Linked DNA regions of Coturnix japonica. The protein of the gene in region 5 interacts with the protein of the main gene of each other region in a pairwise test. Links are inferred from orthologs where the notes say so. Each region holds a gene or a part of one and is shown on either strand. Other genes may lie near its edges. The genes, in order: CZH18orf25, RNF4, TRIM54, ETV6, UBE2I, ATXN1 and KLHL12.

Region 1 (3,500 bases), on a different chromosome or scaffold from region 5:
AAATCTTCACTTTTTATTTCCTTACATTCCTTTCTTTCTGATGAAGTACCAAACAGTCGGTGCTATGTATTAGGCTTCAATAAGAATGCAGCAAAGGTAACACAGCAGAGGTCCTTTGTATTCCAGAAGAGAACCTCTCCACTAGGTGATAATGGAACACCTCTTTCAAAATGTGCTACGCATTTGTATTTGCTTAAGCTTTATGGATGCTGAAAAGCAGCTCAGAGCTACACAGAGGCGTGCAGTATAGCCTGTGTTTAAAACACAGAGTGAAACACAAAGCTCTGCTCCACCATGAGCAAGCCTCCATGCCCTAGCATTAAGTGAAAACCTTAACGGTGTACCAAAAATGAATGGCAAGGAAGGCATTATGTTATAAGGCATTCGGGGCAATGGGGTGAAGTCAACAGAAAACACCCCCACGAGTGCTCTGCTTACACAGCTCTCACCCAGACCTTGGAGCACCTCATCTTACTGCATAGCTCCTGTGTGCCAAGTGGATCTGAGCAACATTATGAGGTCCAGGAGCTTCTTTACAGCCTTCCACTCTATTCCTGCTCTCGCCTTCTTGTAGGAGGATTCAGCCCACTGATGTGAAGCCCAATTACGAGCAGCACCTCTGCATCCTTTGTATTTATCTGAAACTGGAATGTCCAATTTTCTGGAGTATGTTAAAAATGCAGATGGCATGAGGGAAAAAAAATGAATGCTTGCATTTTGCAGAGTGAAAAAGACAAGAGAGACCCCAAAAAAGATATATAAAGACAATTACAATAATTAAAATGAGATGATGATTGGTTTACTAGCTGGCAGCTATCTGGGTCATCATAATCAACTATTCAGTAGTGAGAGTAGCTCACTTTCATTAGGGAGCAGGAAAACACTCCCACGACCACCAGAACAAGAAAACAAACAAACAGAACAAACCAGACTTAACTAATTAGAGGGGGAAAAGAAAATTATTAAGAAACCCAGTGTCAGAAACTCTGTCAGTCTTTATCGGTTGTTGGTTGGAGTAAATGTCAGGCACTTTCAATAAGCACCTATACTGTTTTATTGCATGGGTAAGGTGCTTTTAAAGCTGTATAGATCACAAAAACATTGAAAGGATGGGAGGTGGACACACTGAGTGAGAAGCAGGAATGAACACCAGAGGAAGGGAGCTCAAACCAACCTGCATCAGCACCCATCTCATCCAGCAGCTCCCTGTTTCCCCAGGCAGATCCCAGGTCTTGGTTTCCCAAGGAATTATTGTGCTCTTGCACCACAGCAGCCGCCAACAGATTGTCCACGTTTACCACTTCAGGGTCTGAGTTTGTGTCTGATATATCATAATGAGCTACAACAGGAGGTCCATCTGCAAAGGGAGAGAAAGGCAGCTGCTGTCAGACATCAGCATACAGTAAAAGGCACCTTTAGAAGTACAAATAAGTTAAAAATTAAAGCAATCCCCTAACGAGGCTCTTAAAGAAATGTAATCAGTATCAATTTCTGAACTTCAGATAATGAACAGCCTGATTACAGAGACATTTTAACCTTTGCATATAGACAGAAAACACAAAGATGAGGCAGTGGTATCTGTATTATCTTTTACATTAGCACATAAACATCTCCGTATCTGACAGCGTCACATTTACAATCCCAAAAGGAGAGAACCTTCATTTTAAAATAAACGCTGTATTACAGGCCATCAAATTTGTCAAACCATCTGATTAAGGAATTTTACAAGTAATCTCAATCTACGGCTTACGTTATTGTAGGGCTGTCTGAATAAAACTAACTTTCTAATAGGAGTGATCCAATTGCAATAACACTAATTTAACACTTCCTTACAAAGCATCAACCCACCAGGGACAGGGGAATTTTTCTCCAGTGTTTTGGGCTTTGTCTTCCAAAATGAAGGCTAGCAAGAAGCAGATCTATGGTGTGCAGTGATAAATATGCTTTCTCCTAACTACCATATGTGCTTTTGGCTGCCAAATAGAAGGGGAGGAGAGAGAGAAAGGGAACTGCTTGCATGATTAGTGGAAGCCATAAGGGTGATTTGTATAAAAGCAGTGTATCTTATAACTGCTTTCAATAGACGTTAATGGTAGTTATAAATAACGTTTTCTTCTTGAATTTCTTAAGTCCCTAATATTTGAATAATAAACGATAGCAACTGAATAAGCATTAACAAAAATGAACTGATCTTTTATATGGTATCTTTGCTGTGTAATTTTATTACGATGGCACAAATGGTGATCAAGTGAATCTGAGTTCCTGGGCAAACCTCATGCTCTTACAGGGGCAGACAAGGACATTTATGCAAGTATTTGCACACAGCATAGTGGGGATGTGGAGTTAGTCTGGCTGGCCTCAATATGTGTATTCAAGTTCCTTGTGTTGTCAGTGCCTAGGAGCTGCAAATAGCCTTGGGCTTGTGAGAGGAGAACACCCCTATGGAGGTGCTCAAGGGCAGGCTGGATGTCTTTGTGGGCAATCTGATCTAGTGGCTGGCAACCAGCCCATGGCAGGAGACTGGAGCTCAATCATCTCTGAGGTCCCCTCCAACCTAAGCCATTCTATGATCCTGAAGTCAATTACTGAGGGGTAACAAAAAGGTGAGTTTGGTCCCTTTTATTACAGTGGTGTATTTTCTTTTTGAGTCTTGAAAATCCCCCATCACTGGAATGCAGACTAGAAAAGGAAGAGGCTCAGGAAAAAAAAAAGTCGAATTCAAGATAAATGAAGGAGCAAAGAGAGACTGGATGAATATCCTAATGCTGAAAGGATGCACTTAATTCAGACACTTTGCCTCAGCTAATTACTACAGTTTATCAATTGAGAGTGGGTGACAGCGGCTGGAGTTCTTGTTCCTCAAATGGCAGAATGAAAACTTTGTTTGGGCTCAGCCTTCAGCCATAGAAATCAGCATGAAATGCAGAAATGTTCTGGGCCAAAGCACTGCACTTAGCGCAGCTCCACAGGAGCGCTGGCAGTTGCATGCCTGGGGGGAACTCTTCATTATTACATGATACGCACACAGTGTCACCCCAATGGGACACTAAATATGTGCTGAGCAGGACAGGACCTTCAGCCCTCCTCTGGACCCTCCCCAGCAGCTCTCTTTCCTTTACTGGGGGCTCCAGACCTGGACTCAGGGAGGGACAATCACCTCCCTGTCCCTGCTGGCCACCCCTCTTCTGATGGAGCCCAGGATACCATTTGCTTTCCAAGCAGTAAGAGCACACTGCTGGCTCATGTTCAGTTTTTCATCTCTCAGGACCCCCAGGTCCTTCTCTGCAGGGCTCCTCTCAAGGACTGCTCCTTCTAGTCTGTATATATGCCTGGGATTCCTCCAGCCCAAGTGCACTTTGCTGTGTTGAAAGGGAAGACTGGTCTGATTTAGAAGGAGCAAATGTCTACTGCTGAATACAGAAAGAATGCAACGAACTGTAAGATTCAAATCTAGGTATCTGAAGAGCTGTTTCTAGTAAGGCTTTCCTAAGTAACTTCTT
Region 2 (3,500 bases), on a different chromosome or scaffold from region 5:
CCTACGCTTTTGGCATTCGTCGCTCTCCCTTCCCCATCCCCTCAGCTGTCTATCATTTCCAATAAACTGGTCGGATCAACATTTGAATGCTCTTCTTCTTAATCTCACGCTGGGCATAACATATCAAAAGAACCTTTGCCTCACTCCTAAATTGGAGCGAGACAACAGCTTATTAACACACCTCGGGTATTGTAATCAGAATAAGGTCTGAAAGGTGCAAAGGATTAGTTTTGTTATACCTTGTCTACAATTAGACCTGAGGCAGAAAACACCCAACTTGTTAGCACTGATCAGTGCTACATTTGAGGAGTGTCAGACTACATAATGAAAGCAGCACGACCTTTGATATCTTTCTACCTCATTTCCTTCAGTGCAACACAGGTTAATAAGGCCTTTGAACAAGGTCTTACTCAAAGCAGATATTCCACTGCTACAAAGGCTAACCCAAGTGACTGATGACTTCATGCTTATGGAACTTCTGCACTGGAGAAGAAAAATGTATTCTAAGAACATCCAGTGGCTTTTATTTCAGATACTTCACATCAGCTTTCACAGAGACTCTGAAATATAGATTGAATCCATTCCCTGAGGTGCTGGCCAGGTACTACAGCACTGCTCTCTGTCTTTCCATGAAAGCAGTTTCAACCCATGCTGCTTATGTTTGTTGGGAAAGGAAAAGTTCAGGACAATTCCTTGATGCTTGTAAAATGGAAACTCACCTTCAACGATCTTCAACGATGAACCAACACATACAGCATGGGAGGGAAAAGAAAAATAAAGTTAAACTGTAGCATGCACTGAAGTTTTATGTACAAGCACCCGAATAGCTATGAAACCAACAACAAGGCAAAGTAAGAATTTTAGGATACCACAATGTCATCTTGATTAACAAAATGTTAAAATAGTTTCAGAGAAGTGACTCGTTTATTAAGCGATTACTTTGGGTTTTGCTGCTAAGGGAAGGAAATGGAGGCAGCTTAGGAGCCATCTTAATCTCCTCTCTGCTCCCCAGTTTCAGTACCCCAACTTGATTGAGGCTGAAAAACAGAAAACCAACCCGCTGTTACATTCAGCGGAACCAAAGCCAGGGCAACGCAAACCATGCTATAAGGATTGCAGCATTCCCCTTGTACTGGCTCAGCAACAAACTGTTATTCCCGCTGCTTGTTTTTGGCTCTACAAGGCAGCAGTGGCATCCCCAAACCAGCGTTATTAACTACACTGCAGACTGGATCAAATACTGCTCAAGCTTTAATAACAACAGTAACAAAAAAGTGAATTTTCAAAGACTTGCTATAAGTTTAACTAGCTCCTAGTTGCTCAGGCAACTTGTAGATGCCTGAACACTTCCTATTTGTCATGCTGAAGACTTACTGCTACTTCTTTGATTTTCTGTTTAAATCATCAGCCTTTTTCTTTGAAATATTCAACACACCTTCAGCTTTAAATGGCATTTACTTACATGACCCATGATGGGTAATATAACCCCAAGACTGGGAGCAACAAGCTACAACAGACTGTGCTCATCACCTGCAGGTGGTAGTCACAGATGCAGATACATTAATAGGTCTATCTGGGATTGGATGTGAGCTGTGAAATGCTAAATAAGAGCCACACTTTAACCCTTTAACATAGGCTACCTACTGAGATGCCAGAAGACAAACTAAGAAGCCTTTCTTCTGAAAATCTAAGGCTCTGGTAAGCTATGACCCGAGGCCCAGTGTTGTACAGAGTAAATTTACTTCTGCAGGGAGTGTATCCATTTGCTTGTATTGCACAGATCTCTTAATGTAGGTCAATACACATTTCAAAGGAATGCATGTACTGAAAAGCCAACTTTCAGCTCATCCTTAGACTCTATCAGCAGCAAGAACACAGAACTCATTTGACTACAGCATTTAGATAAGCATGTCACTACTTACCACAACAGAATCATTGTGAGTTAGATCAACTACTACAGGATCAGAAGATTCACACGTGAGATCTACTACTTCTTCACCAGCTTAAAAACATAATGTTAGAACACAAATCAGAGCTCACAGGAGTAAAGTTACCCATCAGTGTATAACAGTGTATAACAGGCTGAGGTATCATACAACACTGCCCATCCCTCTTCTCTTTGGTAACATACTCAACTTTTCATTCAAGCTTTGCTGTCAGCGGTCTATATATACAGTATTAACAGCTTCTGCAAGTTGCAGTGCACAACTAACTGACCTCATGTGCTTTCTGATATATCAGTATCTTGTGAGAGGTGCACAGCAACACATTCATCTAATATAGGAGAACGTTTATCACGCTTTAAAACATGAATCAAACAGGATATTTCTTTTCCAGTCCTGCGCTGTAAGTGTTCCAGTATCACATCTCATCTAACTTTCAAAAGCCAAATACATAGCAAAACCACAAGAAGCCATTTATTTACTTGCAAGTTTCCAAATTTAGTTTGCTGTTATCTGAAGTGGCAGCTGCAGTAACCCCGAGTGCATCGGACCAGATAACTGGATGTGCGAGCAACACACATGCACCTTTCTTACCTAATTCACCTATTAGCAATTGCACCCCAGTAACAATCTTAAACAGCTGTCGGTAGGCTTGCTGCTGTTCACTGCTTCCATACTATGTCCTTTGTTAAATAAGTAGCTTTCCACTCCCCTTCAAAGGACCTTGAAACTGGCCAAAACCACATTATGTGGATTCCCAGCACTCCAGGAGAAGCCTGTTTTCTTATATAGTTCAAAAGAAAGCTTACCACTTTCTTCCAGTTCTATTGGCTCTCCTTCTGAAGCCATCTCTGTGGTAGAAGCTATCAGTCTGCTTCGTTTCTGAGCTTGCCTAGAGTTAGCTGATCCTCCACGGCGCTTTCTTGGAGTCTAAGAGAGAAGAAAGCCTTAGTACGTTCTTTAGGAGTAATACTAATGCAGCCCCCACCTTTCCAACATCAAGGTAAACAAAACACACCGCTAGAAGCCTGTAGCATAAATATAACAGCGGTAAATGACTCCTATCTGAACTGATCTCATCAAGGAGCAGACTCCATGCCAGGTCTCCCACCAGCTGAATCACAAAAGAAAAAGCCACACTACATTCTGAAGGTCTACATGGGAAGATGAGCTCACAATGACACCAGGTATTAACTTCCAGCCAATCAATGCCATCAGTTTTCACTCATGCTCTGAGTTATTTCTGAAACGCTGCTATAGCACCTACAGATGAGAAACTTCTGAGTATCACAGAACATGAAGTTAAATGGCAAATTAGTGCTGCAGCGTATTTACAGTAAACTGTTACCAAGATTTATATAAATATGATAAATATATTTTAAGAATCACTTTTGCATTGATCAGTAAAATACTTACTGTACTCATGGTGTTTCTTGATACAGAGTTACAGAAAAAATAAGAGGTATAAATACCATAAAATTAAACGCAAGGAAGCTACAATTCTCAATTCCTTATATTTCTTTAGGCAGTACACTGTTAAAAAGTCCAGATTTCTCA
Region 3 (4,128 bases), on a different chromosome or scaffold from region 5:
CTCTCCTCATCCTCACCCCATCCCCTGCCACCCCATCCCTATCCTATCCCCATCCTCACTTCCTCCCTCCCCACTCATCCTCACCCCATCTCCTGCTACCCCATCCCCATCCCATCCCTGTCATATCCCCATCCTCACTCCCCCCCTCCCCACCCATCCTCATCCCCATTCATCCTCACCCCATCCCCACCCATCCTCATCCCATCCCCTGCCACTCCATCTCTATCCCATCCCCATCCCATCCCTACACCCTGCTCATCCCCACAGAGCATCTCACCATGGGGAGAGCTCAATGGCTTCTGCCTTGGCCCCACATCTGTAGAGAAAAAGCATTGGACAGGTGGAGAGAGGGACACATGGTGAGACCATGCACCGTACATGGCCACGCCGCAGCCACGGCAGCACCGTGGTGACTGCGGCACAGCATAGCACGGCACAGCACAACACACTCTCACCTTCAGCAGCCTCAGGTGCCTCCAGGCTCTCCTCATCCCCTGCACCTTCACTGCTGTCTGTGGGTCCATCTCCATCATCCTCACCCAGCGCTTCTGTGGGGCAGAGGCACATCTCAGTGTGAGGACATCCCTGCTGCAGTCCCCTCCCCAAGGCAGCGCCCGCCCCATGCTGGCACCTGGCTGGAAGTCGATGGTGCGCAGCATCTCAGCCACATGGTCCACATTGATGGAGAAGTGGTCCATGCTCTCATAGCCGGGCTCAGGGCGGCTGCTCATCGACACCTTGGACATGTCTGTGATCCTGGGGGTACAGCAAGCAGCATCAGCCCTGCCCACCCACCCCCCCATGCCATCCTCATCTCATCCCCCTCCCCATCCCATCCCATCCCATCCCATCCCATCCCATCCCATCCCATCCCATCCCATCCCATCCCATCTCACCCTACCCCACTCACTTCTTCAGGAGCTCCTTGGAGTGCTGTGGGGGAAAGCAGAGTGCCGTCAGCATCCCAGGAGCAGCGCACCAAGCCGCAGGGCGCCCCGCACACAGCCCCCCCCAGGCACCTGCAGGTACACGGCCATCTGAGGTTCCTCCATGGCCTGGATGGCCGTCTCCACCAGCTTGGAGGAGGCCTCCAGGTGGTCCCCGTACTGTCGGATGAGGCCGCGCACGCGCTGCACCTTCCCCTCCTGCTCGCGGGCGATGCTCTGCAGCAGCTCCTTCTTGCGCTCCTCCAGGATGCTGCAGAGCGAGTCGAAGCGCAGCCCCACGTGCTGCTTCTGCCGCCGGCCGTTCTCCTGTAGGATCCCCCCCCGGGGGCTCAGGGGGCTGCCACGCTCCCAGCCCGGCCCCACAGGACACCCCTGTGTCACTGTGCCCTGGGGACACCCGCGTTCCATGGCTGCAGTGGGGATTTCCCTCCCAGGAGCATCCCACCATGTGGGCACAATACACCGGGTGGGGGTCCCGAACCACGCAGACCCCACACGCGGGGCCTGGGGGGGGGGTGTGGGGGGGAAGGCACACACAGGGCAGCCCCACCTCAGTGCTGCGGCAGGAATCTTCCAGCTGGGAAATGATGGTCTGGATGCGGTCGTTCCCCGCTACTAGCATGGAAATGCAGTTGTTCAGCTCGCTCTGGGGGGCGGAGCGGCGTCGGGGGTCGCACCGGGAAACCCCTCCCACCGCGCCCGCTCCATTGACCCCCCCCCCGGCTCTGGGGGTCACCCACCTTCTGGCCCTGGAAGATGCTCTGCAGAGGGGCGACTTCGCAGTCCTTGTGAGCACCGAAGACCTTGCACATGGAGCAGGTGGGGACCTCGCAGGTGACGCAGTAGATGTTGATCCTCTCATCCTCATGATCCTTGCACATCAGCTGCTGCTCCGCCTTGGCGTGCAGGGGGCTGCGACGGGAGGGAGAGGGCGCTGCGCCCCACGGCACGGCCCCACGGCACGGCCCCACGGCACGGCCCCACGGCACGGCCCCACGGCACGGCCCCACGGCACGGCCCCACGGCACGGCACACGGCACGGCCCCACGGCACGGCCCCACGGCACGGCACACCTCTGCCCCGTAGCATCCCCCGCCTCACTGCACCCCCAGCCCCACAAGTTTAGCCCCAATACCCCCCCACCCAGGCTCATTCCCCCTCGTGTCCCCTGCACAGCCCTCCATACCACACAAGCCACGGCATCCCCCGCCCCACCTCACCCCACGGTGCCCTTGAGCCCCTTTAGCCCCAATCACCCCCCCCCCATCCCCACGGGCTCCCTCCCACGCGTGTCCCGCCCCGCACCGCGCCGACTCCTGCTTGTAGATGTCGATGATGTTCTCCACCAGCAGGTTCCTCTGCAGCCCGTACACACCGTGCCGGTCCAGCAGGACCTCATGGCGACACGTAGGGCAGCGGAACCGGCCCCCGGACGGCCCCGCGCCGGAACCCCGGGACTGCCACAGCGGGTTGGAGGCCTGGGGGGGCAGGGGGGAAAGGAGAGAGCAGGGCAGGGGGGGAAGGAGGGGTTAGCGAACCGCTCCGAGACAGAGATCCCCCCTCCTCCCGTGTACGGAGCCCCCAACCCCGGGCACAGCCCGGTCCCTGCGCCCCGCACCTGGAAGATGTCGTTGGCACACTTGCGGCAGAGGTTATGCTGGCAGGGCAGGATGACCACAGGCTTGCTGAACATCTCCAGGCAGATGGGGCACAGTAGCTGCTTCTCCAGGCTCTCCATGCTTCGCGCTTCCGCCAGCAGCGGCTTCAGCCCCACGGCGAAGTTCATCGCCGCGGTCCCGGTACCTCTCCGGTACCGCTCCGGCCCCTCACTGCCCCGCTCCGGCCCCGCAGCGCTAATTTTAGCCGCCCCCGCCCCGTCGGGGCCGCGCAGCTGTCGGCGGCGTCGGGTGACACTGAGTCACGGCGGGCGGCCGTCCCACCGCCGGGGTCACTCCGTCCCGACGCCCCCCGGGAGCGGCACGGCGCTGCCCCCCCCCAGCCCGGCTCCACAGCCGCCGCTCCGAGACGAGAGAGCGACACCGCCGAGCTCCCCCCCATCATCCTTTAATGGTGCCCATATAACATATACAAACCCACGGAAAGTGCCTGAAGGGTCCCAGCCCCATAACGAGCGCGGTGCGGCCCCACGGCGAGGCAGAGTGGGGCGCGACGGGAGGCCCCTCTCCGACCCCTCCTCCTCCCCCCCCATACCAGCCCCAGAGCAGCGTTTGGCACCCAGCTCCCGTCAGGGGGGTCCGGCCCCGGGGTTACAGTGCTACCGGTCTCAGTCACAGCGCTGTAGGACGGTTTCACCTGAGATTGTACACCCCCCTCCCCACCCCACGATGGGGTCTTGGGAAGCGGCGGTGGTCCCGGAGGAGGCTTTACCCCCCACCCCCCTCCGGCACATAGGTGGCCCTATGCCTCGCTCCTGGCTCCGGCAGCAGGCAGGGGCTGGGCGTTGCTTGCGGGGGGCTGCGCTTCCACCGGGACCTGTGGGTCTGGAAAGAAAATGTGTGGGTCAGTGGAACCAGGAGGGAGTCCTGGGGTCCTGGCAGCGATCCGGGGCTGCCCCTGGCACCAGCACGGCCCTCATGTCTCTGTTCCTCTGTTAAGGAAACCGAGAGAGCCCCCAACCCACGTGTCCCACCAGCCCCCGAGCCCGGTGCAGCCCCCCCTGCAGGTCTCTGTGAGCCGGGAGCATCGTGGGGGGGGTCACCATTTTGGACCCCAACTCACCGCCACCATCGTCCGCCTCCAGGTCCTTGGGGTCGACGTACTTATAGGACTCGTCCTCGCGGGGTGGGCAGCACTTCCCGCAGCAGAAGAAGCAGCAGCAAAAACAGCAGCAGCAGGTCAGCAAACCACAGCACAGCGCCAGGGCCTGCGGGATGGGATGTCACAGCCTGAGGCTTCCCAGAGACCCCCGAGGCTTCCCCGAGACCCCCAATATGCCCTAAGAGCTTGGGATTGCCATGAGACCCATGGGGCTGCTCTGAGACCACAGGGCCCAGCTGCCATGGAGATCCCCTGGGCCACTATCAGACCCCAGGGCCACCTGAGACCCCAGACCCAGACATTGTGAGACCCCAGGGCTGCCTTGAGACCTTTGGGGCCACATAGAGACCTCAGTGTCCTGCTGCCATGAGAATCCCAGGGCCACTGTAGGATGCCTGGAGCC
Region 4 (3,500 bases), on a different chromosome or scaffold from region 5:
GTGTGGCAGCAGAATGCAATTCACTGCGTGTGACCTCTTGCTGAAACAGAAAACAAGGTTGCCTGTGTGCAGAAGTGAAAAAAAAAAGCAAAACAAAACAGTACAAATCTCCTGGGTTTCTTTTCTGACTTGGTAAGACAAGGGTAATCAGATCTCATAGAGTGGTGTGCCAGGAAGGAAATTTCTTCCCATGTGCGGCATACAATCAGCCAGGTGCAAGATGAGGAAGGGAGGTTCGTCTTCCTCTGAAGCATAAGGTATTAGCTCCTGCCAGAGGCTGTGTACCAGAGATCTCATCAGATACGGCAAATTTCACGTTCCTCTGCCCAGCGTGAAGCTTTCATTTCTACACAACACATTGTAACAAGTCAAACAATGAGTCATCCCACAAGGGGGAAAAGGAAAGAAAGCTTTTATCTCCCAGCAGACTGGAGATAATCTGCCTACCTAGGTATAAACAATTCTTCACCATGCTGCCTTCTCTCCAGGGGAAGGAAGCTGTTTTAAATTCATCTGTAGAACAGATACTGAATTGTCACACCTCCCAGGGCCAAGTAAAGGTGGCTGGAAGGGGCATGTAGAGAGGGCATTCCCTGCTTCTGTGAGAGGGTGCACAGTGAGCATGGATGGGGCCAGCAGCTTCATCTCCTGCCTGCTCTGAGCCTTGGAAGGAGCAGCTGGGGGTCAACCCCATCCCACAGTGGAAGCCTGGAATGAAATAATATCCTAGAAGGGATGTTGAGGCATCTTGTTTTTCAGAATGTCCAAAATAAACTGAGATACCTAAACTAATGAAGTGTTGCACAGCCCAATGCTTAGTGTGATCCTGACATCTCTCTACCACACCTTGCCTGGAGACTTTGCATGTTACGGTGTGGGGAGAAATGGAGATTCTATGATATTTGCCTATATTCACATACCTTGTCTAATTTTGTAACGCAGTCTTGGTCTTTTCCTGGTACAGGTTTGCAGCCCATTTACTGGAGCAGGGAGGATGTCGCACAGTGGCTCAGGTGGGCGGAGAAGGAGTTTTCCCTGAGGCCGATTGAGAGCAACACCTTTGAAATGAATGGCAAGGCTCTGTTGCTCCTGACCAAAGAGGACTTTCGATACAGATCGCCTCATTCAGGTGAGGAATTCTTATGGAAGCTACAGTTGAAAGAAGAGAAGAAACTGCAACAAGAGGGACAAAAGAGGATACAGAATCATGCTTGTTAGGGTGGGCTGGGCAGTGGAGCAGAGAAGGGACAGAAACTCTTATATGAGACAAAGACAGAAAAGACAAGAGGGAAGAGAAATCTAGTTACCCCTGAGTTGTAAGTAAATTTGGGTGCAACTCCACACCCAAAAATGCAACCTGTCTCTCATTAAAACTCTTTGCAGAACCCACAGAAAGTGGGCTTCTTTGGCAGCATTTCATGGCTTCCAGCTCTTCCCCATAAAGACTTATCTTTTTGCAGACCCAACAACAGCAGCAAGTTAATCAAGTGCTCGAGCCTCTTAAGAAGCTGACATTAGCATTCTGTCTCACAGCTGGCTTGGCTGACATGCTTCTAAGAGTGACTGCAAAATTCATCCATGGGGGACCTTTCCTCTATTTTACAGCCCTTGTGGGCTTTACTTTACTTTATCATACTCTCTCACGTGCTGGAGGCTGGCCCAAAGTACAACACAGATAGGTGTGAATCAGTTGGCCTGTTGTTCAAATTATGTCTTCATTTATTCACACAAGTGATTTAGAAATACATATGTGGTCTTCCTGTACTTAGATCCCCTGCAGTCTTTCTGCTATGGTATCCCAGTCAGAGTAAGCCTCTGCCCTCCTTTGTCAGAGATGTTTAACTAAATATGAGTTATTGGTTCTATATAAGAGTTGTGAGCTTTCTTTTTATGACCATACGTGGTACCTCTGTTAAATATAAACATTTACTCAATCACTATAGATGATCAAAGAGTTTGCACCAAGTGGTTACAGAACTGCTGTTACCAGGCTTGCAGCATAAGATTCGCTCAGTGCAGAAGCGCAGCTGGTGCAGTTTGGCTCAGGCTGATAAAAAAGGAATGGCACTAATTCTGCTTCTAGTTCCTTTGTGACTCCCTTGAATGCACCCAACCATCCTCCTGCAGAATCTGCCTCTCATACTATGGTTTATATTTCTTCTATACACACTTTTCAAAGCATGTACTTTAAACCAAGAATAATTTTTATAAAAGGAATTGCCAGACATCTGTGTCTATTGCTAGTATAATACAGTAGTGAAAACTGATGCCTGGAAACATCCTTTGGTGGGTTTTTTTGGTACTCATTTTGAGCGATTTCATTGCAAAAATTAACCCAGTTTTAAGGCAAAAGAAGTACTGAAAGTGGGCAAGGACTGTAAAGGACAACTCTATGTAACTTGTTTGTTATTCCCCTTATCATACCAGTGCCTTGCTGCCTACCAGTTATTTCTCTACTCTTCCCTTTATGTGCTGTGAGGGCACTTGAAATGAGTAGGATTAAAATGTTTGTTGGCTGGAGATAGAGCGTTCTCAGAGAAGAGCCTCTGGCTTGCAAATCCACACTGTGCAGAAGGTTAAACTCTTGTTTACCTAAACTTGGGTTAGAATGGCCTCTGTCCCAGCTCTTTCTCTCCTCTTTTTCTCCAGGTATTATTCCTCACCAATAATAAACATTTTAGAGGATAGCTCAGTCAGCCTAAATTACTATAGGTAAAATATACCTCAGTGTTTCCCAGTAATAAAATACACGTGAAACATAAGAACTGTAAAATAATATTTGCTATAGAGCTTAAGTTTTTCATAGAGTGTTGATATATAAAGGCTCTATCCTTTCTACTCCTGGTTAAACCAGTAGAATAGCATCCTCTCCTCCCAGTGACTGTACCAATAAAATGGGTACACAGCCACCAGCTATACTCTGATCTAGCACTGGCTCGGGAAGAGAGCAGAGGAGAGAGAGAGTGAGGAGACTTTTGTTCTTGTAACTAATACAGCTGTGTCTTTGTGATGCAGAAGTTTAAATACTTTGTTAGGTGAAAAAAGAAAAGTTATTGCTTGGAGTGTTATAGTACTAGTTATGGTTATGCCACTATTGCATTCAAAGATGCAAATTATGAGGTAAAAGACTTTCATGTACTCAACATGGAAAAGGTAACTGAGTTCTTGAGGCTTTGTTTGTAATTAGATTTTCAGGTATTGCAGACACTTCTTTAAAATGCCCTGAAGTCACTACTGAGACAGTGAAAGCAGCTGAGATGCTAAAAATAAAGGAAGTTGAACTGTGGAAAGCAGGATAGCTTTAACCGTTTCATACTAAGACAATAAACTTCACTGCAAGTAGAACATTATAGAGACAGCAGCTGAATGGCACACAGCTTTCAGTCTCATAGGAGCAACTGTTAACCCCACACACACTTGAGAAAACTCTCCTGGAAAATCCAGGGTTTCCCAGATGAAACTGTTAAGTTCCTTTTCAGATACTACTGCTGTAACTTGTT
Region 5 (3,218 bases):
GAGCCCCTGAGGAGCTGTTACTAATTGTATTCTTCTTCCTTTACCTTTTAAGTAGATACTCTCAAGTTTCAAGCACCCAATTGGTTTCAAATTTCAAATAAACCTCTCCACAAACCCTTCAACAGCACTGGATAGGAAGACAACCCATAATGTTACTTAGTACATATAATGCCCAGATCCTGTAGGCCCCCTCATCTTCAGAGCATTTCTATTATTGTTCATTCATGCTTGTATCATTCCATATTCCAGTGATCAGACCAGTCTGTAATATACAATAAGCAATTGATCCCTAGTTAGTCATACAACTCTATAAGGTGCTTAAGGAACTGGTCAACTATAGAATAGCTGCCAGTAATCAGCACAGAGACAGACCACCTCTACATCAGGGACAGGGAAAATAAAGGAGGCAGCAGCTGAGAAGTAAAGCATCACAACTTTTAACCGAGTTGTGTTCAGAGCTGCTTAAACAGCGGCCTTTTAATGAAGAGGATGAAACAAAGCCCTTTATATAAACAGTTTATTTACTCTAAACAGCAACACAGACAATGCCATATAAACACAAAGGAAGTGATGCAGAATAAGGATGCTGGCTGACTTTGGATCTCAGAGGCTCTTAAGCAATAACAACCTAGTTTCTGAAAGATAGAAAAACAAATTCAGGGAGGGAAGGGGGTGGAGGGCATGATTTTTATTTTTCCATACAGCCAGCTAAAGGCTAAATATAGTTCTAACATTTTAAAGCATGCCTGCATCAGATAGCAAAGTAACTAGAGATACTAGTGAATTTATAGAAGTATAAAAGTTTATAATTTTACAGCAGTTGAAATACTGACATCAATATTAAAATAAAAGCAAGTTTTACATAACAATCAAAAATACAAAAGACTGAAGGAAGAGACCCTGTATGAAAAAACTGGGGGCAATTCAGCAAATTTAGAACTGTATACAAGTGGCGAATATGGAAAATGGCACACATACAACCCCCTCCCCTAAGTGGATATTAATTGTACATAGCAACATTAGATTTTGCAAAAGTTTTGTAAACAAGTTCTTGCCAAACCAATCCCTTCCTTTTTAAGATGCTGCATGACAGATGCTTATGATGGTGCAAACTTCTTGGCTTGTGCTCGAACCCTCTTTTCATATTCCACTCTGTTTTGGCTGAATAGAAGAACAAGAAAGGGCAATTAAAGCTTGAGAAATAAGGCCGAATTGCAAAATTCCCTCCTGTTTCTAGCTGTTAATTCTCCCAACTCAGAGCACCCGAATAAAGGAACACCTTCCATAGCAAACTGCACAACTACAGGAGAGGAGGAGGTACACAGCACACCTGAAGTACTGCAGAAAAACAGTACAAAGGCAACCCCAAAAATGAGAACAAGTCCAAGATCCGTGAGTCAGTATCAATTAGTACCAACCAGTCACTGAGGTACAAATTAACAACCTGCCTTCACAGCCTCTGCAGTTATGCAGGAACAAGACCAGCAGAGATGGTTTTTGCATAAACACATGAGGGGAAGTATAAAATGGGTCATGGGCTATGTACGCTTTCAGAGAATTATTCTATTCCTGCTCCATATTTCCATAGACTATTTTTTTTCTTATCCAAGAGGAGAAAAGAAGGTGGGTCTGCCTTGTCATTCCTCGCTCCCTAAGGCACTGCCTACAACCATCCTCCATTTGAACACACTCATCCAGTCTTCAGAGATACTTAAAGAATACCCTTGAGTAAGGTCTATAAATAGGATACACACCATCCATCCCTATGATTCCTTCTCTCTGTGGTCCTGTATGACATTTCTGACATGACTTTTTATGAGACTCTGCATACAAGCTATTTTTCTACCTTGGGACTCTCCTGAAGACTTGTTCTTCAGTCTAATTTTGCATTTCTGTTTCAGTCGTTATTTCAGTAGCTGTCAGTGCCAAAAGCATTTGTTTACAGAGTGTACTGCTTCCTTAAGAATTATGGGTCAGTAATCTATTTTTAATGATAGGAATATTTTAAGATTGAGCCTAAAAAACGGTGGGGTTTTTGGTTTGAATTTTAACTCCCCTAAAGCTCCAGGCCTCCTATACACTTAAAAACAGTTTTGAACACCAGTTTTCAAAGCTCATAAAATCCTTCTAACAACCACAGCTCTTCAACCTTCAGGCACAAGCACTTATAGGTGCACATTGCTGGACAGAACTAAATTACCCCTGTATTTACCAATGGAACTTGTCAACTAATCCACTCTCTTCCTTCTCACTTTCACTGTTCTTATGAAATCATTATGCTTTGGAATCTGTACTGGTCTGAGACCAAGATGAGAATCATGGTCCAACTGAACGCATCTTCATGTTTTCTGTTGTCACACTGTTAAAAGTTCCATTAGCCTATAAATGCTGGAGGTATTACTTAGCTTGAGTTCAGCATAAGCTGGGCATCTCAACAGGACATAGCCATGAAGGCAGAAAAGCTCCCTTGATCCTTCCCCCAAACATTTGCATGTACCATCGACAACAGACAGCTGTAGGCAACATGCAGCTCTCATGGTGATCCACACACTTACCAGTAAATTGTGTACGCCTCTGCTTGAGCTGGATCTTGAATATTTGGTTCATTTAGAAGTTCTTGTATTCCTAACAAGATCTGTGGATGAAGGTACAGAAGCAACAGAAGCACGGATATTACTAAGTGATGAAGAAACATGCAACAAAAGGAAAAAAAAAATAAATCACTACATTCACACCAAAAATCCCAACCGTAGAAACATGTAATGAGCATTTTACATTCATGTAAGACACACTGGCAAAGCGAGAAAGAAGCATAATTATATGCATAGGTACAACTAATGACCTGTTTAATTGTGATTGCTGGCCTCCAGTCCTTATCCTCCTCTAAGATGGAGAGACACACTGTGCCTGAAGGATACACGTTTGGGTGGAATAATGGTGGTTCAAATTTACCTGAGGGAAAAAAAAGAGTTACTGGCATGCGAAGCCAAGGCTAATATGTAACAGATTGTTTAGAACATCAGTGTAGGACAAACAAACCAGCCAGAGACACACATACACACAAATTCTCTGCACATCTGTCCCCCATCCAACTTCCCCCACTCACCAAACAGGAGATTTCCACAGCTATTGTTAAAGAGCTGCACTTTGGCTTGTGGCCTGTACCAAAAGCAGGAAACCTGCCATGTCTGTGTTACCACCCCAGGCAATTCCACAGC
Region 6 (4,166 bases), on a different chromosome or scaffold from region 5:
TTTGCTCTGAGACCAATACTTTCGCATCCTAATGTTTCAATCAGTTGCTTTTCAGGTGAGCGCATCTAACGTCTATTTTCTTAATTAAGATGAAACTAGGCCACTGGATCTATTACATAAAAATGTTCGTTAAGTGCAATTCCAGGCCTCTTGTAAATGTCTCTTACAATAAAAGACCGGTTCCTTCAGCCTCTCCGAGTAAATCACAGCAGGGCAGGGAGAAGAGATGCGGTGAGAAGTTGCCGGCACCGTGCACTGCCCAGGGGCTGCCGGGGAGCTCCGGTGCTCCTGATCTAGTAAATGTGTATGTTTGGTGGCCCTGCCAGGCAGGGGGTTGGAACTACATGATCCTTGAGGTCCCTTCCAACCCGGGTCATTCTGTGATGCTGTGATTGTGTGTGTGCTTCACGGTGCCGGCAGCTTCTCACCGCCGAGATGCGAAGTGCTCCGGGCTGCGCTCCGTAGCAGCGTGGACGCACGTGGCTAACGCGGCACCTCCAGGGGGCAAAAAAAATCCCACGTTGCTTTTTGCCGTGGTAAGATATTGGGAAAACGATGGCTGCAGGCAGCGGATCAGCGCCTGAGCTCTGCTACTCTGCTCTGCGCCTGGCCGGAGTCCAACGAGCGGAGCTACCCCAGATATACACACGGTGTGCGCGGCTCTCAAGCAGCCCCTGGAGCCGCTCCAGGCCCGCGGCATTACGACTCAGCGCCACATTCGGTGCCTGCACGAAGCGACGCCTGCGCCCGTGTGCGGGCAACGAGGGGAAGGGCCGGCATGAGCTGCTCCGGGAGGGCAGGAGCCGCACTGCCCGCTCCAACACGGCAACACGCCGTACGGGGCGGAAAGTTTCGCTCTCTGCTGTATGTTAACGAGCACAAACGCAAAGTGGTATCAATCGGAATATCAGCAACGAGCCGCGTGGCGATGTTTATACGATATGCCCCCTCGGGTTTGTTCACCGAGGGCAAAGGAAGCCGGCTGCCCCTCAGCGCACAGCTCCTTGCTCACGTTCCCAGCGGTACCAACAATTCCCGGCCCTACGGAGCCGGGCTGGGTGCGAGGAGCAGCGGCAAAGTTTCCGTGCTCCCGCAGCGCCCTGACGGAGCCGCTGTGCGGTGCCTCCCCCCGTCCCTGTCCCCGCACCCCGCACGGAGGCGGCGGGGCTCACGGCGCGCACACCTGAGCGGCCGGGGCTGTCTGTTGCCATAGCAGCGCTCTCTCATCGTTCGGCGGAGCGGGGCCGGGCGGTCTCCGAAGGGCTGCGTGAAGGGCCCGGGCCCGCACCGCCGCGGAAGGGCTCGAAACCGAAATTAAAAGCCCTCATTGCGCCGCCGCACGCACGGACGGACGGACAAACAGCCCGCGGCGCCCGGCACCGAGCGGGATGTCCCCCCACACGGCTCGGCCCGGCGCTGCGCTCCGTGCGGTCAGCGGCGCCCAACCAGCCGCCGCTCCCCGCATTATATAACGGCTTCCGACTTGTTTGCTCCTCCGTCAGTGCCGCTCGGTAATTCCTCCTCTGCGCTCCCCGCTCCGTCGCGTTCTTATCGCTATTACAGCGGGCGCTGACGTTTCGCAGCGCGTTTAATTGAGACTTCGATACCCCCAGGAATCGCGCTCGCGGATCGCGGCGTCCGCGTCCCTACCGGGGTGGGGGTGGGGTAATAGCGAACGACACCGACCCGACCCCGAGCTCCGGCCGGGGTTAAAGTGGCGCTGCCCCGCGGCCCTCCCGCCCGCGCTCCCCCGGCGGCGGTACCGGGCGTTGTCCGCAGGCGGCCTGGGCCCCGACAGCAGCGGCGCGGGGCGGCCGCCGGCCACATCCCCGTCCCAGCGCCGCCTCCTCCGCCGCCCGCTCGCTTCATTCACCCTCAGCGGCCGCCCAGCCCCTACTACATGCGCCGTGCGGCCCGGCCGCGGCCCCCCCCCTCCTCTCTCCCACACACACACACACACACACACACACACGGAGGGGCCGTGTCACCACCCCGTCACGCACCGCACCGCCACACACACACACACACACACACACACATCTACACATACACACCCGGCTACAAACACACACCCCGAGGCCGCCGCTCGCAAAATGTCCACCCTGCCGGCGGGGTGAGGGAGAAGGAAGGAGGAGGAGGAGGAGCGGGAGGGCCGTGCGAGCCCCGGCCCCGGGCCCAGGCCGCTGCCCTCGGCCATGTCGCGGCCCCCGCCCGGGCCGGGCCCTGAGGCCGGGCCGCAGCGCTGCCCCCCCGCACACACATATACACACACACACACACATATACACACACACACATACACACATATACACGCACAGAGCCGCCCCCAGCCCCGTGTTTTTCCAGCCGGGAACCGCGGGCGGCTCCGCAGCCCAAACAAGGGGAGAAGCCGGGGGAGGAGGAGGAGGAGCGGGGGGGGTGGAGGGGCAGAAAGCAGAGGAGGAAGAAAAAGGCACTTACTGTAAAGTGTCAGTGGAGGTGGGGCTGGCGGGGGGGGTCGGACTGAGACTCGAGCACCGCCGTCCTCCCGGGGTGGGGGTCTGCGGGTGTGTATGTGTGTGTGTGTGTGTATATGTGTGCGTGTGTATGTGTGTGTAAGTGAGGGCTCCTTCCCCCGCGGGGACACGCTCCGGGCTGCTCCGGCGCTGTAGTAGAAATGATGTCTGCAGTACAGCGCTCGCTGCCGCTCCGCTCTCCAGTATGTAAATGTGTAATAGAAGCCAAATATGGAGCAGTTGGCTGCCTCTGCAACAGCTCAAGGATCCTACTTCACGCGAAAGGGGGGGGCGGGGGGGAGGAGGAGGAGGAGGAGGAGGCAAGGCAGCACTCTGGCGGGCGGCCAAGAGAGCCACACAGATTATTGCATACGCTCAGCACCGCCGGGGCCGCCGGCCTTAACCCTTTGGAGGCCGCCCGGGGCCGAGCCGCCCTCCTCCTCCTCCCCCCTTTTTACCCCCCCAGCCCGGCCGTTCCTCGCCCCGACGCCCGCTGTGCTGAGGGACGCACCGGCGGGCACCGGGAGGGACGCGCTGCCCAGCGGGGGGAGCAGAGCGGGGCCAGGATGCGGGAGCGGCGGCCTCGGCCGGGCTGTCGCTAAGGGAGGAAATAAACCCGAGCCAGGGACGGCTCGGAGGCAGCGCCGTGAGAGTCAGGGGAGGGTGATTTTATTTAAGATGCCATATTGCGTTTTGCCGTTCAAAGCGTCGTAGCGCAGGAGCCCGCATCCCACTCCCGTTTTCTGAATTAGTTTTATTTTTCCGGATCCTTGGCGTATGCTCGAGTTGCTTTGTAGAGAGTACCTTCCACTTCATTCAGACCAAAGAGGCTCTGACTCATTCCGTCGCCGCACTACGAGGCGGGCAGGGCTGCACCACGCATGTTTGGGTACTCGCTCCCGCTGCGCTCCTCGTACGCGCTCCGGCACAATCCTCGCTCGTCTCTCCCGGCTGCGCGCAGACCACTGCCCGCCTCTCCCCGAATAAATGAATGGGAGGAACACAGGCACGGGACGGCGTCTGCTCTGCTTGCTGGCAACCCGACTGCCGCGCAGGGAACCGCTCGCTCTGCTTTGGCATCAGGAAGGCACGCACGGCGCCGGGAAAGCCTCTCCCCATCCCAAAGTCACCACACGAAATGCTGCATAAACCCCCAAGGCTGGGTCTCAGCTCCAGAAGGGCTCCGAGAGCAGCACGTGCGCTCCCTGTGCCGTGGCTGCCCAGAGCGGGCTGTTGTTTGAGCCTCTTCCAATCCCCCCCCCCCAGCACAGCTGTGAGCTCCGAGCAGATGTCTGTAGTGCCGATGTGTCACGTGTGTGTCCACAGGTAGTACCGCTGTGTTTCAGCATTGGATCTAGCGTTAGTCTGGATGCAAAAGACCCTAGGGCTCTGTCAGTATGCAGATCAGCAAAGCAGTCCCTTCTATGAATGACTGTACTCGTCCTCTATATTTCCTAGAGAATGTGCTAACAACATGGTAATCTGCACAGCTCATGACTGAGAGTTGGTACTGTCTTATAGACCGGCTTTATGAGCACAAGCATATTTTAACAGTGCAACTTCTACCTCTCCAGATCAGGTTTGCTACATAACCCAAAGTGAATGCCTGTTTCAGAGCACTCTGGGGACAGCAGCAGGCCCGGATGTCTGGATGCCCGTGCCACTCAGCAA
Region 7 (3,500 bases), on a different chromosome or scaffold from region 5:
AGGAGCAGGGCAACCAGCTACTCCCTGTGCTGCCACTCGTTAACAAGCCACCCTGTCCTGCACTGCTGTCCCCCTTCTATGCCACTGTGCACTGCAGATCAAGAAGTCTTTGTTGCAGAGCACCACAGCACTGCATGGCACACACAGCTCCTGCAGGTCCCACAGCTACTCCCGGCACCTCCACACCACTCACCCAGACGGGCTCTGGTCCTGGGTCCCTGCATCTGGCTCCGGAGCTCAGGACGGAGATGGAATTTCTTTGCTTCATCGACGAGGTCTCTGCACTGCAGACTGCATCGGATGAACGGCTGCAGAAAGACAGCAGTCACTGATACCAGTGGTCTGTGCTAAGATCCCCCCAGAGATGCCATGGGACTGTTCTCATACAGCTCATCTCTCGTGGCACTGCAGATTACAGGATAAAATACCCTACACTGGAAAACTGAGGAAAATAGGATTCTGCTACATGTTAGCCAGTGGAAACCCAATTGAGGAGGGAGCAAAGGCTGAGTGGGCCTGGCTGGGTCTGCCCCACAGCGTCAGCTCAATATGTGACTGCCAGAGACACAGCATGGAGCAAAGCCCAAACTGCGCTGCTCTGTATGGAACACCCTGCTATGGGCGGAACTCAGAACAGGGAAGTCTCCTCCAGAAGCAGCTGTGGGCACAGCAGCCCTAAGCATTGCCTCATGTCCTCCTTGTTCCCCAGCTGGGCCTGGGCCAACCCCCCGCTGCAGCTCCACATCCAGTTCCCTGTGGGTGTTCAATACCATGTGCTGCTGCACCACACCAAGGCCGAATTCACAGTGCCCTGCTGCCAAACCTTGCACTGGATCAGCATTGATTGTTTGAAATTAAAACTTCCATTGCAAAAGCTTAAAGATCTCATCATCCACATCTTGGTTTGCTTCTACCCATACCTCGGTGTCGATAACGTCTGTGATGTAGCGCGGGGTGAGGAGCGGCATTCGCACATACTGCAGCAGCTCCGGCAGCGACGCCTCCCGGTCCTTCTTTGAGTGCTTCACCCAGTTTATAACAGCCTCAAATACAGGTTCTTCTGAGTCCACCTGCAGGAAGAGGGACACACTGCTCAGACAGGAGAGCAGCAGCCTGTGGCTAAACGGACAGCTCTGTGCCCAGCAGCAGCTGGAGAGCACAGATGGGAGTCTGCTGTGGGTGAGAAACCAGGCAGCAGCATCACAGCCAGGGCTGCACTGACAGGAGCCCAGCAGGCAGTGTGGGAGCAGGTTCTGCCCCTCTGCCCCGCTCTTTGGGCTCCTTGAGCATGAGGACATGGAGGGCCCAGAGCCCACAGTGACACTCAGAGGACAAAGCACCTCCTGCAGGGATGGGCTGAGGGGCTGTGCTCCTTCCACGTGGGGAAGGGCAACCTCACAGCAGCCTTTCAATAATTAAAGAGAGCTCATCAAAAAAGATGAGGAGAGACCTTTTTATTGGGCCTGCAGGTGATAGTTTTAAATTAAAAGAGAGCGGGTTTAGATTAGGTGTAATTGCAGTGAAATTCTTCACCACAAGAGAGGTGAGGCAGCAAAACACACAGTCTGGAGGAGCAGGGGATGCTCCATCCCCATCAGTGCTGCTGGGCAGGTGGTGTAGGAGGTGGAAGGGATTGGGGGACGATCCCTTCCAACACAAAGCATTCCCAGCCCTGGGATCCCTGGCTGCCCAGAAGCTCTCACCACAACCCACCCAGATCAAACCTCAGCACTAAGGACACTGCTGTGATCACCCAGCGCCCTCAGCCCTCCCCTGCTCTGAGCACCACCTGCATGCAGCCCTCACTGCCGCCCTGCGTGCTCCTTTCCAAGGTTTGTTAATGACATCAGCTTGGCCAAAGGCCACTTCTGCTGCAGCCTTTCAAAGCACACATCCACATCTCTCCTCTGGTCACCCCTTCGAGGGGCTCTGAGGAACTCAGGAGGTACCAATGACACAACCTGCTCCAAGGAGCTCACACTGCTGTGAGCTCTGAGTAACGACTCCATCACTTCTTTTAGGGCTGAAGCAAACACCATCTCTTGTTGAAGTCCAGCTTAACAACACAGAACTGCCCCCTTCCTATTCTCAGGCAATATTCACCTTATTTCAGTTCCCAACTAAATACACACTCAGAGAAAACTTGGGTAAAAAACCAAACAGGATCAGACGGTTCCCAGCCATGCAGTAACACCTCCAGAATCCAGCTCTGAGTGAACACAGTCCGTACCAAAATTCAGAGGCAGAAACACCTTCATGTAACCGCCTGAAGCAGTGTCTAGCAGCCCCGCTCTGCACCCTGTGCAAGCAGAAGGGCTGCATGCTGGGAACGACACATGCACTGCTCGTGCTGCTGAGTAACACCACAACGGTCTGCAAACAAGTTAAAGTCCTGTGGGCGTTTCTGCAACGTGGGCACCGAGACAACGCATGGCTGCAACCTCCTCCGGGGAGAGGGGGAGGAGAGGGAACATGGAGGTAGTGATGTGCAGCCCCGAGACAACACGCTCAGACACACAGCCTGCACATCACCCATTGGTTTGAGGTTATGGGGCCAAAGGAATGAGGAGAACCTTCCTGGAAAGCGAACTCCCAGCTGGGGAAGGATGGGTGAGTCCCTCCTGAGCACTACGGGCTGGTTTCCAACAGCTTTCAATGCTTTACGTCCAATGCTTTGCAGAGTAATGGTACGTTCAGGTTTTACCTGAATTTCATCACACTTGATGAGCTTTTCAACCTCTTCTTGATTTAAGAGGATAAACTCTTCATGCTGAACCACCTCTGGAAAATGTTTCTGGCTGAAGACCTCTGCAGCTTGCATTAGATCAACACAATTGTGTGTCTCAGCAAAATCCCGAATGCCCAAACAATTTGATGGATCCAGCTGGCTTTCTAGAAACTCACAGCAAGCTTGTTTCACACCTATGGAAAATCGGAGGGGTGAATGAGCACTGAACACATCCTGTCAGCCCTCTGCTCGGGAAAGGGCTTCAGTACAGGGAAGTTGGAAACAATAAGGACAGACTGACTGAACAGCAGTGGAATAACACCACTCAAGCACACACATGCAATGTCTCTTCCGAGGGGCACAGTAATGCTGAGCAGCAGGACGGCTGCTTGTGCTGTTTGTGCCTGCTGTGTTTAACCCCCTCCTCCCCCAGGTTAAATCTGACACTGGTAACTGTGAGCTGCACTGACTTTGCAGCTCCTAAAGCAGAAGTGGATGTGCCATGGGATTGCCCAGCTGTGAGCAGCCACGCTAACCTGGCAATGCCAAACGACACCAGGGCTTTGCTTATTACTGTCAGCTCCCCCCCCCCAGGCACTGCCACGCAGACATGAAGTAGCACAAAGCACGGATAAAAGAATCCATCCCGTGTCTCTTTTTCTAGATGGGGCAGCTCTGCTACACCAAGATCAGCGTGCAAAGGACAAGAGGAGTTTGACACAAGGTGTTATGGCTCCAAGGCCCAGACTGAGCACAGCACAGAGGCACTGCT

What was found.
Region 1: the proteins of UBE2I (region 5) and CZH18orf25 interact in a two-hybrid assay, tested with the Homo sapiens proteins (2 studies listed by BioGRID and IntAct). The two-hybrid records come from large-scale screens. The link is inferred for Coturnix japonica from reciprocal best matches to the Homo sapiens genes UBE2I and ARK2N.
Region 2: the proteins of UBE2I (region 5) and RNF4 interact in a two-hybrid assay, tested with the Homo sapiens proteins (3 studies listed by BioGRID and IntAct). The link is inferred for Coturnix japonica from reciprocal best matches to the Homo sapiens genes UBE2I and RNF4.
Region 3: the proteins of UBE2I (region 5) and TRIM54 interact in a two-hybrid assay, tested with the Homo sapiens proteins (3 studies listed by BioGRID and IntAct). The link is inferred for Coturnix japonica from reciprocal best matches to the Homo sapiens genes UBE2I and TRIM54.
Region 4: the proteins of UBE2I (region 5) and ETV6 interact in a two-hybrid assay, tested with the Homo sapiens proteins (2 studies listed by BioGRID and IntAct, with this or other methods). The link is inferred for Coturnix japonica from reciprocal best matches to the Homo sapiens genes UBE2I and ETV6.
Region 6: the proteins of UBE2I (region 5) and ATXN1 interact in binary tests that used the Homo sapiens proteins (3 or more experiments, as listed by UniProt). The link is inferred for Coturnix japonica from reciprocal best matches to the Homo sapiens genes UBE2I and ATXN1.
Region 7: the proteins of UBE2I (region 5) and KLHL12 interact in a two-hybrid assay, tested with the Homo sapiens proteins (2 studies listed by BioGRID). The two-hybrid records come from large-scale screens. The link is inferred for Coturnix japonica from reciprocal best matches to the Homo sapiens genes UBE2I and KLHL12.

The regions. Positions count from the first base shown.
Region 1 is NC_029547.1:1,819,759-1,823,258, forward strand, and holds part of CZH18orf25 (uncharacterized protein C18orf25 homolog), read right to left. Parts: intron 1,358-3,500; coding exon 1,175-1,357; intron 1-1,174. UniProt on the Homo sapiens protein: AMPK substrate important for exercise capacity and skeletal muscle function.
Region 2 is NC_029519.1:74,944,716-74,948,215, forward strand, and holds part of RNF4 (E3 ubiquitin-protein ligase RNF4), read right to left. Parts: 5' UTR 3,419-3,500; coding exon of another isoform or gene 3,416-3,418; 5' UTR 3,369-3,415; coding exon 3,360-3,368; intron 2,874-3,359; coding exon 2,753-2,873; intron 2,003-2,752; coding exon 1,923-2,002; intron 730-1,922; coding exon 720-729; intron 1-719. UniProt on the Homo sapiens protein: E3 ubiquitin-protein ligase which binds polysumoylated chains covalently attached to proteins and mediates 'Lys-6'-, 'Lys-11'-, 'Lys-48'- and 'Lys-63'-linked polyubiquitination of those substrates and their subsequent targeting to the proteasome for degradation.
Region 3 is NC_029518.1:95,417,684-95,421,811, forward strand, and holds the start of TRIM54 (tripartite motif-containing protein 54), read right to left. Parts: upstream 2,801-4,128; 5' UTR 2,734-2,800; coding exon 2,566-2,733; intron 2,426-2,565; coding exon 2,253-2,425; intron 1,860-2,252; coding exon 1,688-1,859; intron 1,594-1,687; coding exon 1,498-1,593; intron 1,254-1,497; coding exon 1,020-1,253; intron 934-1,019; coding exon 911-933; intron 757-910; coding exon 632-756; intron 549-631; coding exon 456-548; intron 317-455; coding exon 278-316; intron 1-277. Other genes in the region: DNAJC5G (dnaJ homolog subfamily C member 5G), read right to left, coding at 3,366-3,448, 3,687-3,831. UniProt on the Homo sapiens protein: May bind and stabilize microtubules during myotubes formation.
Region 4 is NC_029516.1:65,808,950-65,812,449, forward strand, and holds part of ETV6 (transcription factor ETV6), read left to right. Parts: intron 1-964; coding exon 965-1,129; intron 1,130-3,500. UniProt on the Homo sapiens protein: Transcriptional repressor; binds to the DNA sequence 5'-CCGGAAGT-3'. Plays a role in hematopoiesis and malignant transformation.
Region 5 is NC_029529.1:7,286,290-7,289,507, reverse strand, and holds the end of UBE2I (SUMO-conjugating enzyme UBC9), read right to left. Parts: intron 2,953-3,218; coding exon 2,843-2,952; intron 2,636-2,842; coding exon 2,556-2,635; intron 1,162-2,555; coding exon 1,098-1,161; 3' UTR 501-1,097; downstream 1-500. UniProt on the Homo sapiens protein: Accepts the ubiquitin-like proteins SUMO1, SUMO2, SUMO3, SUMO4 and SUMO1P1/SUMO5 from the UBLE1A-UBLE1B E1 complex and catalyzes their covalent attachment to other proteins with the help of an E3 ligase such as RANBP2, CBX4 and ZNF451.
Region 6 is NC_029517.1:67,238,775-67,242,940, reverse strand, and holds the start of ATXN1 (ataxin-1), read right to left. Parts: upstream 2,801-4,166; 5' UTR 2,461-2,800; intron 1,931-2,460; exon of another isoform or gene 1,687-1,930; intron 1,656-1,686; exon of another isoform or gene 1,184-1,655; intron 1-1,183. UniProt on the Homo sapiens protein: Chromatin-binding factor that repress Notch signaling in the absence of Notch intracellular domain by acting as a CBF1 corepressor. Binds to the HEY promoter and might assist, along with NCOR2, RBPJ-mediated repression. Binds RNA in vitro.
Region 7 is NC_029541.1:899,991-903,490, reverse strand, and holds part of KLHL12 (kelch-like protein 12), read right to left. Parts: intron 2,923-3,500; coding exon 2,705-2,922; intron 1,071-2,704; coding exon 921-1,070; intron 309-920; coding exon 194-308; intron 1-193. UniProt on the Homo sapiens protein: Substrate-specific adapter of a BCR (BTB-CUL3-RBX1) E3 ubiquitin ligase complex that acts as a negative regulator of Wnt signaling pathway and ER-Golgi transport.